Linked DNA regions of Elephas maximus indicus. The protein of the gene in region 1 interacts with the protein of each later gene in a pairwise test. Links are inferred from orthologs where the notes say so. Each region holds a gene or a part of one and is shown on either strand. Other genes may lie near its edges.

Region 1 (7,395 bases):
TGAATGACAAAATTAGAGAAATGGAGGACAAATTAGTGGCTATCAGGGGTTAGGGACTGTGGTGGGTGAAGGGAGGTAGGTGTTTCTATAAAGAGGTAGCACAAGGGAGATCTGTGTGGTGATGAAATAGTTCTGTATTTTGATTACTGTGGTGATTGTAGAAATCTACACATCTGTTAAAGTGACATAGGACTGTACAAACACATTCTACCAATGTCAGTTTCCTGGTTTTGATGTGCTATAGTCATAAATATAACCACTGGAGGAAGCTGACTGAAGGTTACACAGGACCGCTCTGTAATATCTTTGCAACTTCCTGTATATCTACAATTATTTCAAAATAAAACACTTTTAAAAATCTTAAAAATCAGTAGAATTAGTAAAATAATTTGCTAAGAGCAGGTGGGTACCAACTCTACTTCAAAAGCCATGTCAAAAGAGCTATCTGGTTGGACACCACTGCTGCCGTCACTGCACCCTGGACACTAGGGGCTGCCCTTGGCCCTGCTATTAATGCTGCCCCTAAAACCTGGATTTGCTTGTGGCTGCTTCTACTACCACACAACTATGACAATAAATTACCTGTCTTTGCATCTTTGAATCATTCCTTCCAGATAAAGTGTTAGCTGGAGTTATGCAGTAAAGTTTTGACATATCAGATCCAGGGTGTTCAAATCCCATGCATTCTGAAGAAAGGTCTGGCCTTTGACCAGCTTCTGGGAGGCAATGTCTAAACCCTTGAAATAGCCTGCCTGATGAGTGTCTTTGTTCACCTGGGGTCTTGGGCCATGGCAGATAGTTTATTCCAGCAATGTAATTTATGGAGGGGACTTTCAGCCAGGCAATATCAGTTTGACCTCTGGAGGGGCTGGAGACTGAGTAATTAAGGTCAGCCACATGGGCACCCCATGCCTATATGACCGATCCCCAGTAGAAACCCTGGAGACCAAGGATCAGATGAGCTTTAGTAGTTGACGAAACTCCATTAAGTATTGTCACACATCATTGCTGGGAAAATTAAGTGCTATCCATACAACTCCACTGGGAAAGGACAACTGGAAGCTTATGCCTTGTCTCTGGACTCTCCCCTATGGGCCTTTTACCTTTGCTGATTTTAATCTGTATCCTTTCACTGTAATAAACCATAACCATGAGTTTAACAGATTTTTTAGTTCCTTGAGTCCTTCTATTGAATCATTGAACATAAGCGTGGTCCTGGGGGCCCCTGATGTACTGGTAAATCCTAGATCACATTTTCTTAGTTGCCAAGGGAATATGAAGAAACGACTATCTGGGTTTTGCAGTTGGAGCTATTGTGTAGTATAGAGTACATGCTGTATTACCTTACTAAAATGTGAAAAAAAAAACTTTGTAATAGAGATGACCCCAGGGGTTTTCGATAAGTACCTGTAGGTCTGTATAAAGACCTCCTACAAATCAATAAGATAAAGACAGGCAACCCAAAAGAAAAATGGTCAAAAGATTTGCACAGGCACTTTACAAAAGAAATACGGTAGGTTCATTAATATATGGAAATGTGTTTCAACACATTACTTATCAGAAATGTAATTAAAACACAAGGAGATACCAATACATACACATCAAATTGGCAAAAAATTGGCAAATTCTCACAATACCAAGCACTGAACAGTTTAATACTTTGTGGTACATCCACATCATGGAATATTATGCATCAATTTAATGGATCAAAAGTAGACTGGGGATTAGTAAGATAAATCAGATGCATAAAGTGTATATAATATGATCTTAATATTTGTAAAACAAAAAAATTACTTTTGAGCATGAATGGATATAAAATTGCTTGTTAAAATGCATGTTTGAAAAGGAGGATGAGAATGATTGCACAACTCAAAGAATGTATCAGAGTCACTGAATTGCACATGTAGAAAATGTTGAATTGATGTATGTTTTGCTGTACATACTCTCAACAGAACAACAAAATAAATTTTAAGAAATGCATGACTGGCAGGTAATGGTAGAGATGAAAGACAAGTGTAGGAGGCAATAAACAAAAGAAGGCAATTTAAAATATTCATAGCCTGTATAATGCCATTTATGTAAGAATATATAGACATGCATGTATAGATATGTATACATATAGTGACGTATGAAAGGGTTGCATAAAAATCTTAATAGCAGTTATCTCAAGGTGGTGAAATTTGGAGTGATGTTTACTCAATTTCTAAGATATTTAGGTAATGTTCAAATTTTTAATGATGACCACCCATTATTTATATAATGAGGAAAGAATAAGTGAATTTATACAGAAAAGAAAAAAGAATGTCTCTCAGATTTCTTGCTTGAACAAGTTGGATGGTGGGATTCACTGACTGAGCATGTAAATATGCCAGGTATCCTTCTAGGAGCTGGGGATGCAACAATGAATGAAACAAACAAAAATCCATCTCCCTAAAGGGCTTACATTCTGATGGGGAGAGAAAGAGATGAACAGAAGAGAAGCACACAGTGTTGGTGGGGAGGGGGCTATATACAAAGGAATCAGTTTGGGACATGCCAATTTTGAGGATACCAAGAAATATCCAATAGAAGGAGTAAGGTAGGCAGTTGAATTACGAATGTAGAATTCATAGGCCAAGTCAGGAGTGGATACAGATTTGGAGGCAGAAAACATATAAAATGGTGTTTCAAACCCCTTTTTCTGAGTCTGATCACGTCCCACTGCAGACACTTTACAGAGGAAGTGCTGAAGAAAAACAGGCAGCTGACAGAGGAGGTTGCTATGCAACAGATGAGGAAAGTCATCCAACCAGGCAGAATTGATATTGGCCCTTGGGGATCAAATGTTGCTGTCCTTCCGAGCATTAGTTTCCTTTCATATGCAGGCATCTGGCAGGAATTCATGCCAGAACAAATGTGAAAAACAAAGATCTGGCTTGGATTTTGGGAAGGTGTTTAATTTGAGTTACATCACATCTGTCTATTATTTCTGCCTTTTTGAGTTTCTCTGTCATCCAGGAAGCACAGCGGCATGTGTGTTCTTGTGTCTCCCATTTCTACATATTTAGAAACTGGGGTTCAGAGAGGTTGAGTGACCTGAGCGGCCTCACACAGCCAGTGACAGACAGGCACAGCACTTCATCCCAGGAATTTTGAAGCCCAGCCCAGCTTCATTCCATGAGACCAGAGCTGCCCCAGGCCCCAGCCCTGGAAGGAACCAGAACAAACATTTACTCTGAACCAGGGTTTACACTAGGTTAGGGTTTCCCATGGCTCAGACGCACAAGGGCCTGATTGTCCTGGCTGCTCCAGTGAGCACCAGGGAGGCCTCTGGGACAATGTGTTCATGCCACTCACAACTAAGAGACCTGACAGTGGAGCTATTCCCTTGGAGCAATTCCCACATCTGAATGGACCCACATAGAGCAGTCAGGGGGCGGGGCTGGGTTCTCTACCTGAATTTTCCTGAAGGCAGAGCATGAGCTTGGACCACCAGGAACACAAAGCTTGGCTTTTTGGGACAGATATTGGGGGCTGTCACCCCCAACCAGCGGCACATGGCGTTGGAGTCTGAAAGACCCAGGCACAAATTTTGTGTTTACTGTGGCCTTGTGTAGTTCATTCACCTTGTCTGTAGCTCAACTTCCTTATCTGTAAAATTGGGATGCTGACATCCACCACCTAGGGCAGCTGCGAGAGGAAAACAAGCCCCCGGACAGATCCTGCTGTGTTGTACAAGCTTGCCCCTCCCTCGCCCCTACACACACACACACACACACACACACACACGCGCGCGCGCGCGCGCACACACACACACACAATCCAGCTGGGGCTGCGCAAAATGGCAGGGAAGAAACTAATGTTCTACATTAGTCTGGGAGCTAGTAAGGAAGCCATGTAGAGTCACGTGGCAGGCACAGATAACTGCTTCCCCCAGTAGTGTATCCTTTCTGGCCATTCCTTTTTCTGGGTCTAGCACTTGTCGCAATTAGAGACCTCACATAGAAGAGACCTCATCAATAGTAACCTAAGGAGCGCCGGGCAAGGGGGTGGAGATTCACGCGGACCTGAGAGGAGGAGCCTTGAGAGGGGTGGGATAGAACACAGACGCATTGCGGAAAAGGTAGGGGGTTGGTGTGTGGGGCAAGGGGTGGGGCCAAGAGGCACTGCGCATCTGCTGAGGGATGGGATGTAGCGTAAAGGGAGGGATCGTTGTATACTGTCGATCTGGTTGGTGGTGGAGTGGTGTGTTGGCAAAGGGGCGGGACTGCCTTCCAGTGCACATGCGCATCTTGATTTTCAGGATGAAGCTTTTGTTGGAAAAGCGGGCGGGACTCTAGTTGGTTGTTCAGCGTTTGCGCATGCGCACAACGACCTGAGGCGGTGGGTGGTATATTAGGCCAAGAGGCGGGGTCGCCCAAGCTGCCGCGCTGGCATTTTCTCCTGGACAGGGAGAGGGTGCGGCTGCTGAGAGCCGAGCACTGCAATCCAGATCCTCTGAGTCTTGAAGAAGGGAGACAACGAGGGGGTTGGGGTTGGGGCCTGAGGCAAGGTGAGAATTAGCCCCCAGACAGGGCATCTGCCCCCTGGTGCGGGCCCCCATTTTTTTTTATCATCTTATCCCGGATTCTGAACCCCTTCCTCAAACCTCGATTCACATTCCCCACCCCATCCTCCCTGACTCAGAAGCCCTGTTCGCTATCTGAACCCCTGTCCAGTCCCTCCCATCGCTCGAAATCTCCACAGATTTCTCGACCTCGATCTCTACTGTAACACGATTCCCTCTAATTCGAAACCTCCATTCAACTTCCCAAATCCCGATGTGATCCCGAATTCAAAACGCTCATCTGCAACCGGAATCCCTTCAGTAGTTTCTCGGGATTTCCATCTGGACACTCAGTTCACTTTTCCCGCCCGGATCTGGCCGGTTCCCCTCATATTCGGCACTTCATCCGCCCCCGTAATCAAACCACAGACCCTTTCCCTCAATTCGGACCTTCCTATTTGCCGTCTCCAGTTTAACCCCCAGCTCCTCCCCCACAACCCCCCCCCAGGCTCCACTCTTGCCAGAGGGACTGGAGCCATGGCTCAGAAAATGGACTGTGGTGCAGGCCTCCTCGGCTTCCAGGTGAGATTTCAGCTCCCTAACCCACCATTTCCCCAGCCGCCAGTTCTCCCTGGGCCCCTTTGGCCACCCAAATGCCTGAATCTGATTTTGCCCTCTTTGTGCCTAGACTCTGTTGACTTTCAAATTCTTATCGGTTATTGGGGGGGGGGGGCGTTCCTTTTCAGCCATCAGTCCCTGCTCAGAGAAAGGGGAGACCCTGTTAATAGTCAGGGCAGTCTGCCCAGAGACTGCAGGTTGGATGAGGAACCATTTTTTTCTGGAGTCCTGATGCTTGTAGAGCAGTCTGCCTCCGCCTCCCCCAAGACCGTCCTCCACCTCCACCACCCCTGTCTCCTGCATTCCCCACTCCCTGCGACCCTTCCTTATTCTCCTCAACTCACTCTACCTCCGACCCTGAAGTCCTACTGTAGGCTTCACCCTCATTCTCACTCCGCCCCTACCACCACCACTTTTGTTGTGGTTCTGCTCCTGTCAGGCCCCCTAGGTCTCCACCTCAGCCCTCCTCCTTTTGCACCAGCTGGCCACCTGCACCTCCCCTGTCTGCTCCTCCCACCCTCCCACTCCTCCTTCAGAGGCCCAGAGATTTAATCCCCTCCCCCCACCCCGTATTTACAGACTGAAGCCTCTATGGAAGACAGTGCCTTGCTTATGCAGACCCTTATGGAGGCGATCCAGATTTCGGAGGCTCCACCTACCAACCAGGCCACAGCAGCTGTCAGCAGGCTGAATGCAAGCCCCTCGAGTTCACAACCTCCGTCTGCCAAGGAGATGACTGACATTCATGTTGTAGCAGCTGCCACTAGGCCTAAAACAGCCCTTAAGGCCCAGAATGCCACCACAAAAGGCCCAAATGGTGCCTATGATTTCTCTCAGGCTGTTAATGCCAAGGAAATGCCCAACACCCAACCTAAGGCAAGCTTTAAGCCCCAGAATGCCACCACAAAGGGCCCAAATGTTGCCTATGATTTTTCCCAGGCAGCAACCACCAACAAATCCGAGATGGGTTTTAAAGCCCAGAATGCCACTACCACGGTGGGTCCAAATGCCACCTACAATTTCTCTCAGTCTCCCAATGCCAGTGAGATGACCAACTCCCAAACTAGGACAGCCTTCAAGGATTGGAATGATACCACCAAGGCCTCAACAGCTGATACCCAGACCCAGAATGTTAACCAGGCCAAGATGGCTACTTCCCAAGCTGACATAGAGACCAACCCAGGTATCTCTGAACCTGAGGGTGCAGCTGCACAGGCATCAGCAGATGGTTCCCAGGCTCAGAATCTGGAGTCCCGGACTATAATTCGGGGCAAGAGGACCCGTAAGGTGAGATCCCTGCTAGGTCCACTTTGGTTTGGACTCTCTCCTTTCTTCTTTGTGATTGTTCATTTGTTATAAACAAAAAATGTAATTGCCTGTATTCTGTTAGATTGTAGAGGATATTGAGGTAAATGTGATAGTTTCTTTCCTCAGAGTGTCCACAGACTGATGAGATAAGACAATGCTTACAACATGGATATAATTTTATTTGTGTTTTGATAGTAGCTACCATGTGTTAGGCCTAGAACTAGCCACATTTATACAAATTATCTCAATTAAATCTTGAAGGTAACTCTTTATCAGCTAGGGATTATAGTCCCAGTTTTACAGAGAAGGAAGATGAGTCCCAGAAAGGTGATATGACTTGTCCAGGGTGGTACAAGCAGTGCCAGTGGTGGACACAGGAAGAGGAGAAGCCTCAGGCCCCACCCTTGGGTTGTTCCTGGCCTGATTCGGAGATGAAACTCCTGCCTGGAAGATAGTGAAAGACAAGCCTGGGGCTAGTGGGTCAGGCTGTCACTACAGGTGAGGGTTTAGGAGGCTTTCCCAGAAGTGTTAGGGTGAGGACATAGAACCATCTGGTGACCCCTGACCTTTTTTCTCTCTGATGATGCAGATTAATAACTTGAATGTGGAAGAAAACAGCAGTGGGGATCAGAGGTGGGTCCCACTGACTTCAGGTACTTGGAGGTCTGCACCAGTTCCAGTGACCACTCAGAACCCACCTGGCGCACCACCCAACGTGCTCTGGCAGACGCCATTGGCTTGGCAGAACCCATCAGGCTGGCAGAACCAGACAGCCAGGCAGACCCCATTGGCACATCAGAGCCCCCCAGCTAGGCAGACCCTACCAACCTGGCAGAACCCAGTTGCTTGGCAGAACCCAGTGATCTGGCAGAACCCAGTGATCTGGCAGAACCCAGTGATCTGGCCTAATCCCATTGTTTGGCCTGGCCCAGTTGTCTGGCCAA
Region 2 (7,046 bases), on another chromosome or scaffold:
CCCTTGACACTTCCACTGAGCCAATCCTAGTATGGATAATTAATTACGCTTACAATAGAAAGTCTCTCATTTTGTCCAACTGGAGTCTCTTGCTTTGAGGTATGACAACTATAGTAGAAAGTATCCTTAGTGAAATGTCTGCTATTTTGACACACTTAAGAAGTTACAATACAGGGTTAGGAAAAAGAAAAAAGAAGGAAAAAAAAAAGAAATCAAGAGTAGTTTCTTTATTGTTTCAAATAGCTGGCAAGTTTAGGGAAAGAAAAAAGTTACAAATACTATTGTGGAAGTCAAATTAAAACTTGAGCGGTAGCCTTCTGCATAAGGAAGTTCCATTTGAAGGTGATCTTGTTTCTTGCTGGTTTTCACATTTTCTTTCAGCTTCCTACAGGGTGTGAGTACCTATTCAATTAAGGGCCCCTGTACCTGAAAGGCAGGCAGGGTGGCCCTCAAACGTGTACGAGGTGTATACATACATACATACGTCCAAGCGCCCGGGGGTTCTTCGCAGAAGAGACAAGATTATGTCTTTCCCCGCTTCTCCCATTTATTGACGTAGAAGCATCATTCAGGAGCCAGTGGCATTGATGTGGCTCTCTCCCAGTCTCTGTTGAGATCAAATTCAAATCCAGCATCCCCAGATGCTGGTCAAAAGGCGAGCGAAGTTTCATCATCCAGGGAGCAGAGGTTGCAGGTATGGTGCAGTTTGACATGGCGTCGCTCGATGCTGTGTTACTGATCCGTGGGCAGTGATATTAGCGAGTGTAAAAACCTTGCCTGCCTGCTTCTTTAAGTGGCTGGCGTGTGTCTAGGGTTTGTACTTGCCTCTGTGCATGAGCGCGTTTGCATGCGCTTGTGTCAGAATGTGTGAGTTGGTCGTCCAGAGAATGGAGCCTGGCTGAGAATCCTTTTGAGATGGAGGTAGAGGGTCTGCATCCCATTGTTTCATTTTGCAGACTTCCAATATGCCTGGGCTGTGAAGAGATAAGTTTAAAGGGAAGCCTGGGCCGTTATTGCAGAATGGGGCTGCAAAAATCCAATCACCATGAAAAGGTTTTAAACTTTGGGGAGAAAACGGGCCGGCAGACCACTATTGGCTCAGTGCAGCTGAGAGCCGTTATTGGTTCCTTACATAATGTATTTGTTTTTTCATTAAACCATTCAGATAAGGTCTTATTAAAGTGCCATGTATTATTTATCATGTTTCTTATGAAAATGAGCTAAAGGGAAAATTCTATCCTCTTCTTGGGGCATTTGCAGGCTTTCCCTGTGCTGGCAAGAAAAGAAGCAAGGGAAGAAACAGAACGGAGGAAAGCATGGCAAACCCTGTCATAGAGCAGATTGCTTGAGGCAAAAGGAAAGGACCGGAAAAGGAGAGGAAGGGGAGGAAAGACCCTTGTATTCTGTATATGCTTTGTTCAGTGGCTTTCTTTTTGATTTTGTGAATTGCAAAAAAAAAAAAAAGCAGGTAGAGACTAAGGAAAGAAAGATGAAAGCAAGAAAGAGAATCATTTTATTTGTAAATCAGAGCTTGTCTGTTAAACAGGATTTCAGAGTCAACGTAGAGCAAGGATTTTTTTACAAACTAACCACTGTCTGCTCCCACAAAAAAAAAAAAAAAAAAAAAAGTAGCAGAGAACAATGCCCAAGGCACTCCTAATCCCCCATGCCAACTTCTACCTGGGGCTAAATGGGCTGTCGTTGTTGTGTGACTTCAAGTCCATTCCGACTCATAGTGACCCCATGTGACAGAGTAGAACTGCCCTGTAGGGTTTCCTAGACTGTCATCTTTACAGGATCCGATTGCCAGGTCTTTTCACCTGCAGAGCTGCTGGGTAAGTTGGAAGTACCAACTCTTTGGTTAGCTACTGTGTCTCTATTCAGTTGACGGGATTCGTGAGCCCCAGTATGGTTGAACAGACTGGTTTGGCAAATGAAAAAGTAAAAAGAAGCAATCTGGTTTAGGCCTAGTATTTGGCATAACGAGGACCTTGTAGTTACTGATAGCTTTTCAAAACAAACAGCAAAAACAACAACCAAAAAATGGAGCTGTGCAATAGTTAATTTCCTTTCCTTCAGAAAGGATTTTGATTAGCCTCAAAGTGAGTTGTCACTTCTGAGCTGATGGTTCAGTTCAGAAGAGGTCTTGTGGCTGAGAGCATCTATGTGAGCCTCACAGAGAATCTGGGGGCGAGCCCCTGGTGGCCAGTCCCCTGGGTCACGTCCTAAATGCTCCTTTGTGAGAATCCCCATCCCCTCTCAAAGTGTGACCATGTCCTGCAGACATTGGCAAGCCTTCAACAAGCATCTTTGCAGGGAAACCCGCAACCCGAAAAGATTCTGTTCAGAGAACTGACCTCTTGCTCGGGAAATAAAAAGAAAATCCAATCACTGAGTCAAAAATCTATATAATAAAAAAAAATATGGCTACTATACAGTGATCATAATCTCACTAGTGCCCAGAATGTGCACTAGTGGGGACCAAGGACAAGTTAGAGTCTTAATATTTTCTTTTGATTTGCAGATCACATCCTATTTGATCGCATAAAGACTAACACAAGCTACTAATGAATAATTATTCCTTCATAAAATACAGGAGAGGGGGAGACCCATCTGCAAGAGCAGAATGCTAATTTGGCCAAAGAGGGCTGGCCAGACAAGAATAAAATAAACCATTTTAATTTGCCCACTGCAGCCCACAGAGTAATCTCTTATCAGACACAAGCCTCCCCCAGCCTGTGCATTCATAATCTGAGAAGAGCTGGGATTAGAAGCCCCCTTGCCTTCCCCAGGAGCTGGCATGTTAGTCCAACAGGCTTGATTTCAACGCCTGCCCAGGCAGTTTGCCCCAGCGGTTAGGATAGGGGTTGGTTTGCTGAGCGCACTGCTGCCTGCCCAGCAGAGGCAGAGAGCCAGCGAAAGCTGCGCCCCAAAAAGCCTCGGGGCTTGTAGCTGCCTTTGCTGCTGGGGCACAGACACCGCCCTCCCTCCAGCGCCCCCAGCCCCAGCTTCCCCCTAATCGGGGCTCCCCAGATCTCAACACCTCCAGCTTCTTAAGAGAGGAAATCCTATTTCTGTGTTTATTCGAGGAGTCAGGCAAACCAACCGCCAGGAAAAGCAAGGAGTCTGGGTCCCAGCTGGGCGAGCACAGGAATTGTCCAGCTCAAGGCTGGATGCTGGCGATGTGGGGCGCTCGCTTGCTTCCTCGCCCGCCCCGCAGAGATTTTTAGCAGACACAATTTGAATTTTGGTGAGTCGTTAAGGAAAAAAAAAGGCAAAGGAGAGGAGGGGGAAAAAAAAAAACACAACCCTGCCCCTGGACCCATTTGACAAATGAGAAGGCAGGCAGCATCAGCACCAAAGGAGTGAGCCTCCTCTGTGAGTCAAAATCTCTCTCCCTCTTTCTCTCTCCTCCCCTTTTCATCTCTCTCTCCCTCTTTCTCTCTCCTCCCCTTTCATCTCTCCCTCTTTCTCTCTCTCCTTTCTCCCTCCTCCTTCTCTCTACCCGCCTCCTACTCAGCATTACAGGAGAGTATCCATCCAAACCTCTCTACCTTCCATCCAAGTTGCCTGTGCTTGGTCCTGTCATCTTCACCGGGTGTGGGGTGGGGGGCACCTTCCACTTTGGGGGCGGTTAAAAAAAAAAAAAAAAGCAGGCCCAACAAACCAGAAAACGATCCAGCAGGGAGGAAAACAAAATAGTTTCCTGGTCCTCTCAAGTGTCTTAGTTTCAGGCAGAACAAGGCTGGGATCTAGCAAACCCAAAGAGAAAGAACGCCAGGGAGGAGGGACACGAGGGGTGCGGGGGGAGGGAGAGAGAGAGAGAAAGAGAGAAGAGACAGAGACAGCCACCCGCGTTTGACTTAGATAATCAGCAAAATTAAAAAGAGGAAAAAAAAAAATTGTAGCGGCCAGGCAGGGAGCAACGTGATTGCATGCGAGCGTCCCCACTTGTGCTCGGCGGGTACCACAGAGACACGATGCAGCACCCTCTGACGGGGGCCACCTGCGTGGCGCTCCCCAACGTGGGCATGTGTCCCCAGCTCTCGTGTGCCTTGACTTTTATGTACTTACAGCAGGTAAGGCGCGCCTCTGCCTCCGTGGCCGCTTCCCGGGGGCTGCACCGACTCGGTACCCTCATCCGTGGGCTGCGCTTTCCTGCCTTGGAGGGGGCTTGGGGAGGGGGGCTATGCGCTGGCACTGGAGGGGTGGATCTGAGCCCTTCGTTCTCTGCGGAGCCCAGAAACCCCCTGCCGAGCTGGTTTTGCATCTCACTGAATACTTTGCATGCCTGCCTCCCAGCCTGGGTACCGGAGTTTGAAATTGAAAACTGTATTTTTTTTTTCTTATTCGCATCCTTCTTCTGTCTGTGCGTCTAGTGGCGATTTGAAAATCAGAACCCTTTGATGCTAAGAGTTTGGAGTCTTTGTGGAGGCATTCGGGTGCCTGTAGTTTTCATTAAGGTGATTTAATGGGGAAGAAAAATCATCTACGTAAGCATGTGTGTGTATGTTAAGTTTTTTTTTTTTTTCGCCTTAAGTTTGCCTGTGTCGTGTTTTGTGCTGTGCTGATTCTTTATGGGATCAGGCTGTTTAGATTTCTGGATGCTGATAGCCCCAAAATCTGCCTCCAAACTCACAGGCAATGCTATGTACGGTGAAGGCAAGAGGTTTAGGATGCTGTCTTTGTTGGCACTGTAGAGGCATTTGTGTCTTCTCTTCACTCCCCGCTTAATTAAGGTCTTACTGAGGGATGTTGTGTTTGTCTGTTTGGCTTTGCACTATCCCTACATTTCAGTCTTCCGCTGTGTCTATTTTTCTCTGGGTGTTTCCCTCAGACCCCCTCTTTCTCTGTCTTCCTCACTTTACTAGAAGGGCTGGCACTGGTACCTGTGCCTGGGCTTGGGAATCCGCGGAGCATTGCCTTTGGGGGGCGGGGGGGGGGGGACAGCTTTCTGCTCTCTGTCAAGGGGTCAGTGGCTGTGCCTGTGAACTGGCAGGGCCAGAGGGTTTGTCATTCCAATGGGAAACCCTCTCCCTTCCCCATCCTGCTCTGCGAAGAGTTTATTGGGATTGTAGGCATTTTATCTGCTTTCCACAGACTCACTTCCAGAGTGCCATTTGTTAACATGTGTGTTTGTATGTTGACACAACTTCCTTCACAAGAGTTGAGAGGTGCCTCCTTCCCTAAAGGCCCTCCATTTCCATCTGGATTATAGGCATAGATGCATTTATAAAATGTCAAGATTGTTTTGAACATTTGGGTAATTTGTTATCAAGTTGGTTGCCTCCAGAAAATATATCTTAGGATTATTTGGTTGCAAGTCTGAGAACAGCCTGTTATTATTATTTTTGGTAATATCTTGAGAACAAATTGGTTTATCCTTTTAAATATCTTTTTTATTCCATTTCTCATTAAGTAAATTGTGCCAGGAAACATTTCCCAAGAGCATACTGGTAACGTATTATATGACTCATCTGCTGCTAGCATTTCTTTGCTGTGTGCGTGTGTGCATGCGTGTGTGTGTATGCGTGCGTGTTTTACACCAGTTACCCACCAGAAGAACATTCTAATGAGTGTTTCTACAGATGCTAAGCCTCGGTCGGATTTAATCAAATTATTAATACGAGTTGATCTTGTGCCTCCTACATCCACTCCTTTTACGTTATTTATTAATCAATTTGAACAGCATTACCTAACAAGCAGAATGCTATAGGTATTCAGTGTTCTGACCAGTTCTTTGTGCGTTGTTCTTTTTTTTAAAAATAAATCAATGCTTCTTCCTCCTAAATTGTTAAATCGGTTTGCTCATTTAGACACAACTTGGGAAAGCAGGCGGTGTCTTTGAGGGAGAGGTTGTTATTTTTGCCATGTGAAGGACAAGTATATAGGATAGGCTCAGGGGCTTTCATCATCCGCCCTGCTGGCTCTTCCAGGAGTGAAAACTCCCCTGCTCTGTGGTGGGAAGGCTCAAAGGAACCATTGGCAGCCATAACAAATATTTAGAAGTGACTAGATCAGCATTGTGGTTCCATATGAAGATGGGTAAAGGGTGGGTTTTGCATTTTGCTTGGGAATGCCTCCTCTTGAAAGGATTTGTAATGCTGTCCGTGAAAGTGCTGATAACATGATGCTATGACAAGATGTCAGAATGGGGTATGTGTGTGTGTGTGTGCACGTGTGTGCATTTTCTCTGAGTTTTGCTAAGTGTCTGAAGTATAGTAGAGGCAGTCTTTATTTGTGTCTGCTTGACTCAGAATGTAGTTTTCCAGCCATACCTCCTACCCTCCCTAAAGGATCACCATCAGGGCGGGAGAGACGTACCTTTGGGTCACCTCTCATGGTCCTCACTGCCATGATAGGTTGTGTGACAATTCCATGGCATTGTTTTAATTTACCAATCCAGACAATTGAATGATTAAGAGTGTGAAGTAGTTCATTTTAATCTTTACAGACTACGCACAGATGCAATCCGTGTGACTTCGGCCTATACGACACAGCTTTTGTTGTTGTTTTTTGCTCCTTATCTGTAACTATTCTTGTGTCTTTAACCGAAAGATCAGTGGTTCAAACCCACCAGTAGCTCTGTGGGATAAAGATGTGGCAGTCTGTTTCCGTAAAGATTTACAGCCTTGGAAACCCTATGGGGCAGTTCTACTCTGTCCTACAGCGTTGCTATGAGTCCAAATCGACTCGACAGCAACGAGTTTGGGTTTGCTTGTTTGTTTGTTTTGATTTATTTAATTTTGAAGATCAGAGGACAGATCAATACTCACAAAGTAAGTTGAGGAACCAGTGAATCGGGCCACGTCACAGTAAATGATGCCTTGGCTGGAAACATTTCGGAAGACACCTATTTCAGGAGTATGTGTTATCTTGATATTGTAAGAAAACAATTAAAACACAAGCATCTTATTCAAAGGCTTTATTGTTCCTGTCTTATACACGCACAGACTCTGATCAGGTGGTACCCAGAGTCTTCACTGAAATACAGCATCGTCTCCAGGAATGAAGTCTGATATGGCTCCTGTTTTTTTTCGAGTATC
Region 3 (6,836 bases), on another chromosome or scaffold:
GCTTATAATCTCAGAATTTCCATGGTACACTGCTGCAAATACAAACGCCATATATTGTGATTCATAGTATAAAGGTTGAGAAGCAAAGTGATGATTAACTCAAAAAGACAGTGACCTTTTCTTCCTAGAAGCTTAAAAACAAAGTAAATGTGGCAAGTAGAGAAACAACCATTAAAAAAAAAAGATAACTCTTTAACCTTGGTGCAGGATCGGAGTGTTACAGGAATTCTAAGGAGGGAGAGTCTTCCCTGTTGGACTGACCAGAAAGTGCCATGAGGAGAAGACAGGAGTGTAGTACTCTAGAACTAGCATACCACATAGATAATTCAATGAAAGAAAAAAAAAAAAAAAAAACGATAAATGTGGAGTGCTAAGAAAAGCACAATGTGAAAAAGGCCAAGAGGTGGGAAAGTGTTAACTGTCTTGGAAGAAAAGATGAACATGATAAATTTGAAAACTCAAATGAAGTCTTCAATGCTAAATGAAGGAGTATGGAATTTAAACTATCCAAGGTTTTGAGTAGAGAGAGATCATGTTTACATCAGCATTTTAGGGAAAAAAGTACAGCACTAGTATGTGGCATGGAATGAAAAGGGGAAGCTAAATTAGGAGGCTACTATAACTATTTCAGGGGAAAAAAGGCCTGAACAAAGCTGGTGACAGTAATAAGCCAGAAGCCCTGGTGGCACAAATGGTTGAGCGCTTGGTTGCTAACCAAAAGGTTGTTGCTTCAAATCCATCCAGTGGTTCCAAAGGAGAACGGCCTGGCAATCTGCTCCAGTAAAGATAATAGCCACAAAAACCCTGTAGGACAGTTCTACCCTGTCACATGGGGTCGCTATGGGTGGGAACTGATTCAACAACAATAAGCCAGAAAGTGGGTGGTTCCAGACACACTTTCAGTTAACACTGGAATTATCAGGTCAAGGGACCCAGCTAGCAGCTAGAAGCGTAGGAAAACCTGAAGCTAACGATCTGGAAATCAGCTCCACTGGATTATGGGTGTGGGCAGGAGAGAAGAAAACTTCGGTAACCTTCCATTACCTTAATTACAGAAAAAAGATCTTCACAGATTTGCTACTAATGTTAAGTTTCTAAGAAAAACCCATATTAATCTTCTGGATTTATTATAATTCATGAACTAAAATACATTTACCTGGTTGTTGCGGTTTTCCTGCAGTGGAGAAGTAGCATCATCAGGAAAAGAGCTGACATTTCTCCTTTTCAGCATCTGGTCATCCTTCTTAGCTTTCCTCAGCTCTACATTAACTTCTATTCGGCGCCGCCTCATTTCCTTGAGTAAAGAAAAGAAACATTGTTTCACCTTATTAATAATTTTCATTATCAAGTGAGGGCGTTTTTAATTCCCTCAAGTTTTTGATCCCTTGCCAAACATCTTCCCATTAAAAAGTATCATAAGAAAGCAACAGAAGGTACTCACTGTACTGTCTTTCCCCTTGTTCTTGAATCTGTTAAGCCGGGCAGCTGGTGAATTAGCATTCTCATTGGTGGACATGGTTGTGAAACAAAGGAAGAAAGCTAGATTGGGGGGTGGAGGAGAGAAAAAGAAACTCCCTTTTATCATTTTGCCTTTGCAATAATAAAATTTCCAAGCATATATTGAATCCACACTTCTATACTGGAGAAGGAATTTCACGTTTTCAGCATTACAAGATCGTTTTGGCCAAACAATAACCGCACCCCCCCCCCCCCCCCGCCCGCCCGCCCGCCCGCGGACAAGAGCTAAGAGTTTAACCAGTGTTGTCCATCAGAAATACAAAGCAAACCACAGAATTTTAAATTTCCTAGTAGCTGTATTATAAAAAGGCGATGATAAACAGATTAATCTTATTTAAGCCAAAACATCACTTAAACATGTTACCAATAGTAAAAAATGAGACATTTTTAATTCTTTTACATAGTCTTTGAAATCCACGGTGTAATTTATGTTTACAGCACACCCCAATTCTGACTACGCACATCTCAAGAGTTCAATAGCCACATGCAGCTGGCAACAACCATACTGGACATCGCAGCTCTAGACTCTCGCGGGTCCAAAACAGCTAAGTGAAGACAAAGTGGGGGAACCGAATTAACTTGCAGTTAAGACCCACGTCCACCTGGCAATAAATTCAGATCAACTGGAGGCTCTCTCCAGGAGTCTTCCTACTTTCATTGGTTTCAAATGGCCATAAAAAAGAGTGCATTTTCCACATTTGAAAATTAAAATCTGACTCATCATTAAGTTATGGAGTCTGCCGTATCATTTCCTGTCAACAATGAAAACCTGCGACGCAGTCCTGCACCCTAAGCATCTCGCAAGCATTTTAATTTCCAGAATTTCGCGTTCGAACGCACTGAATTAGGCTGCCATCAGCTCTGCCTCATTCAGGCTCAGATACTAAGGAGCAATCTCCAAAAGACGACAAAAGTAAAAACCCTCCTTACAGCTTGCTATCTTTAATCCCGTTATTTTCGTCTACGACATGATTGACAATCTGCCGACTCTTGGCCTGCTTTTTTAGATACAGGTCCTCCAACTGCCACCTCCCGCCCCAGCCCCTGGCCCCCATCCCGGGGAAGACGCTGCGGGCGAGGGCGGAGGAGAGGCAGGACCTGTCCGCGACACTGGCCCTCAGGCCTGTCTCATTCTGCCTCTCCTGGCCGCGACGCACAAAGGCTTTCGCTGCCGTTAGCCGAACCTCGGAGCCCTAAAGCTCCAGCTCCCGCATCGCGAAACGAAGCCGCTTCGACAACAAACGACGCCCCAGAGGCCTTGTCAACGAGGAAGGCCGAAGCCAGCCCCAGCGTATCCCTGAGGCCGCCTCCCGCCTCCTCCAAACAGAGCGCGCCCTGCGGGCCAGCCGTTATCGCTGCGGTCGGGCTGCGGCCTGAGTTCGTACTTACGGAGCGGCCTTAGGCTTCCACAGAAGGCGGTGCGGGGAGCTCACACGCTGCGGGCCGACTGCTCCACAGTCGTCCAACACGGCTCAGACCAGAGACGGTGTGGCTCGTGCAGCCGGCCGGCGCGATTTAAATTTCCCGGTGGCTCCGCATTCCGATTGGCTGGTTCGAGCCTAAGCTATGCATCCATTGGTGGATTTGAAAAACACGTTTGGGGGGGGGTCATAGAGCTTAGGGGAATGGGAGATAACATCGCGAGACGAGAGCGGCCTGGCGATCCCAGAACGCCTTGCAGTTGCGGTCCAGAGTGGGAGGACTCCAGATCCCGGCAGGCCGCGCGAAGGGGCGGCTCCCAACCCAGCGTGTCCGGAGGCTCGGGCCGCTCTCGGCTTCCGAAAGGCATCCCTGTAGGTGCAGTCGCTGTTGGTGTTCTGGGGGGCTGTTTTGGCCAAGTACCTCAAATTATTCTGAAAGTCATTTTTGAAAAACATCTTTATGTAAAAACATTGCTATGACTTGTTTTTCCCAGATACGACACAGAAAGGAACCGGGGGTGGGGGGCGGGATTGGAGGCCTGGTGATACAGTGGTTAAGAGCTTGTCTACTAACCAAAAAGACTGCAGTTGGAATCCATCAGCTCTCCTCGGAAACCCTACGGGGCTATAGGGTCGCTATGCGTCGGAATTCACTCGACGACAACGGTTTTTTAATAGACTTTTATGATGTAATAATTTTTTTAAAACTAAAAAATGCAACGCAGATCTTCCTCACCTCCCCCTCCATAAAACCCCCTTGCCGTCCAGTCGATTCCGAAGCATAGCGACCCTAAAGGACAGAAGAGAACTGCCCCATAGGGTTTCCAAGGAGCTTTTAGTGGATTGGAACTGCAGACCTTTTGATTAACAGCTGTAGCTCTTAACCACTGCGCCACCAGGGCTCCAAAAGACTGTGTAAGAAGCCACAAATAAAAAAGATTATGCTTGTTTCTCCACACACGCATTCTCAAACCATTTATTTTTAAATAACTTAAAATACATAATTGCAAATTTTTACCCATCTTACCAAATGTTAACATTTTGCTACTTTTGCTGTTTATCTGTTATAGTCATGCAGTTATATATATTAGTATACATATACACACTATGTGTATGTATATGTATGATTTTTACATATTATTTTTTGCACCATTCGAGGAAATCAACTCGACGGCAACGGGTTTTGTTTTAGGTTTTTACCCTTAAATACTTCAGCGTGTGTCTCCTAAGAATAACATTCTCCTATATAACCACACTGCATTCAAGTTCAGGAAATTGATTTTGATGCTACTTTTTAAATATACAGTCCATTTTCCAGCGTTAGTGTTGCCAATTGTTCCAGTAACGTTCTATGTTGTATTTTATACATTTCCGTATAAATGTTTGCGTTTTCTTGCCGTGTACTTTAAAAAAAAAAAATTCAACGATGGTATTGTGGGCCATTTTTGTTTTCTCTCTGCAATTTTTCTGTATTCTAAAAAAAGTTAATTTTAGAAAATTTATATTTTCTTTTTCACTACAAATAAATTCAAACTGTGAACTTTGTCCATTCTTGCATCCATGCCAGTCTCATTCATTTTGCAGTACCCACAGGGATTGTTCCTACTCACAAACTACCCAATCAGCATAACCCCCACCCCCTAGGTTCAAGAACATGGAAGGAATTCATGCCTAAACCAATGACTGCAGAGCATTCTCTTGGCTGCTGCAAAGGTTCAGTTGTGTGCACGTGACCTAAGTTCCCCCTGTTGGGAAGCCTATGCCTTTTGTTTGATGGCTGAAGGTTGGAAAGCTTGCTCTGTTCTGAGCAGAGGATGTGAGCCCTAGAAATCTGAATAAGAAAACTGTAGAGATGCCAAACCAGAGCTCTGATCAAAAGCCTGCCCTACCTCTGAAGGCTGCAATTAAATGACTTTGCAATAATTTGATCGGATACATTTTCATTATTGTTTAAGCTAGTTAAATTGGGTTTTCTGTTGCTTGAAAATAATCGTTTTATGTGCCTGGAGGTGTTCGACATGTTTATACACATGAACACATTTCATATCCACAACTCTGCAAGGTTGTCTGTAACGTTTCACATAAGACTAAATCACTAGCGGTTAAGAATCTTATCCAGGGTCACACAGCCAGTAAATGACAGAGACAAGACTCAGACCCAGGAAGTCTGCTTCCAGGACCCATGCTCTCAACCACTTCCATACTTGCACCTGAAAGCAGATACACATCGAAAGTGAAGGATGCAGGTGGACACTTGGGACTGTGTTGGCATCTCCTGCCTGGAGGGGGGACGGGAGGGTAGAGAGGGTTGGAAGCTGGCAAAAGTGTCACAAAAGGAGAGACTGGAAGGGCTGACTCATTAGGGGGAGGGCAAGTGGGAGTATGGAGTAAGGTGTATATAAACTTATATGTGACGGACTGACTTGATTTGTAAACATTCACTTGAAGCTCAATAAAAATTAAAAAAAAAAAAGTGAAGGATGCCTTTGAAAGATACAATGTTGCCTCAGGGAACCATGAGTCTCCCCCCTCCCCAGCCACTGAAGTTTGGATGTGCTGCCTGCAGCTCCAGATTCAGAAAAGGAGCCTGTCTGTCCTAAGCCAATCAGCACGTCCCATTTCCCAGACACAGGGATTGGTTAGGGATGAAGATGTGGCATGGTGCAACAACACTTATACTAAGGCTGCCAAGAGAGAGAAGTCCTTTTTCTTCCACCGGAAGTGTGCTGGGATGACAGGAGCCAGAGGTGCAAATCCAAGAGGTGGATCGTGGCAATATTGCCTGAATCATTCCAAGCCTGAAGCTGGTTCTGCCCAGGGGCTCTCTGGTTACATCATTTGATAAATTCCCCTTTGTGCTGAGCCAATTTGAGTGCTGTGTCACTTGCATCCAAAAGATTCTTAACTGACACTAGGATTCTTAACCTACACTAGCACTATAGTGTAAGCTCCATGAGGACAAGGGTTTTTATCTATTTTGTTCACTACTGAATTGTCAACACCCTTAACAGTGTCTAGCACATGAAGTTGCACAATAAATATTTGTAGATGAGTGAATGCTTGAGTAGAAACTTGACTATACAGGCCTCAGTCTCAAAAGATGCTGTCAGGAAATTTAAATTTGGGATGGCATAAATGCTCTCTGAAGCCAGGGGCTTGAATAAGTTATCTAGCAGACAGTAGGTACGTGCAGGTTTAATAAAAGAGATTAAGCCAAGTCGTACACCAATAGATTGGGCAGATCGCATGCTTGGTAAGACATATGGCTCCTTACATACACAAAAAAGAGCTTCTATCCATATTTTATAACCAGATAATCATATAATCAATAACCAGATAATTTTCTAATCAATAAGAAAATGACCAACAACTTTATAGAAAAATGCCAATAGAAAAATGGGCATGGTTACAGAAGAAGAAATATAAGTGACTTATAAATAAATGAAAATATCAGATTTCACTAAGAAAAGCAGTTTTTAAAAATGAGATACTGTTTTTGTCATTTTGGTGGCCAATAACATTTAGTGTAGTAGGGATTTGGCAGCAACGCGACGGGAGTAGGGATTTGAAGAAATAGATAGCTTTTCATATGCTGTTGGTGGGAATGCAAAATAGAACATTTCTGGCAGATCTACCAATATAAAAAAGGTACTAGATCAAAGGAGAATGAAGAACACCAAGGACACAAGGTGATTACGAGCCCAAGAGACAGAAAGGGCCACATGAACCAGAAACTACATCATCCTGAGACCAGAAGAACTAGATGGTGCCTGGCTACAACCGATGACTGCCCTGACAGGGAACACAACAGAGAACCCCTGAGGGAGCAGGAGAGCAGTGGGATGCAGACCCCAAATTCTCATAAGACCAGACTTAATGGTCTGAGACTGGACGGAC

Evidence for each region. The genes of interacting proteins can lie anywhere in the genome.
Region 2: the proteins of MAGED1 (region 1) and RBFOX1 interact in a two-hybrid assay, tested with the Homo sapiens proteins (2 studies listed by BioGRID and IntAct). The link is inferred for Elephas maximus indicus from reciprocal best matches to the Homo sapiens genes MAGED1 and RBFOX1.
Region 3: the proteins of MAGED1 (region 1) and KPNA2 interact in binary tests that used the Homo sapiens proteins (3 or more experiments, as listed by UniProt). The two-hybrid records come from large-scale screens. The link is inferred for Elephas maximus indicus from reciprocal best matches to the Homo sapiens genes MAGED1 and KPNA2.

What each region holds. Positions count from the first base shown.
Region 1 is NC_064846.1:116,594,287-116,601,681, reverse strand, and holds the start of MAGED1 (melanoma-associated antigen D1), read left to right. Parts: upstream 1-4,381; 5' UTR 4,382-4,531; intron 4,532-5,033; 5' UTR 5,034-5,062; coding exon 5,063-5,107; intron 5,108-5,722; coding exon 5,723-6,430; intron 6,431-7,040; coding exon 7,041-7,395. UniProt on the Homo sapiens protein: Involved in the apoptotic response after nerve growth factor (NGF) binding in neuronal cells. Inhibits cell cycle progression, and facilitates NGFR-mediated apoptosis. May act as a regulator of the function of DLX family members.
Region 2 is NC_064830.1:65,287,688-65,294,733, forward strand, and holds the start of RBFOX1 (RNA binding protein fox-1 homolog 1), read left to right. Parts: upstream 1-4,025; 5' UTR 4,026-4,031; coding exon 4,032-4,079; intron 4,080-7,046. UniProt on the Homo sapiens protein: RNA-binding protein that regulates alternative splicing events by binding to 5'-UGCAUGU-3' elements. Regulates alternative splicing of tissue-specific exons and of differentially spliced exons during erythropoiesis.
Region 3 is NC_064837.1:55,934,849-55,941,684, forward strand, and holds the start of KPNA2 (importin subunit alpha-1), read right to left. Parts: upstream 3,022-6,836; 5' UTR 2,908-3,021; intron 1,540-2,907; 5' UTR 1,517-1,539; coding exon 1,442-1,516; intron 1,295-1,441; coding exon 1,157-1,294; intron 1-1,156.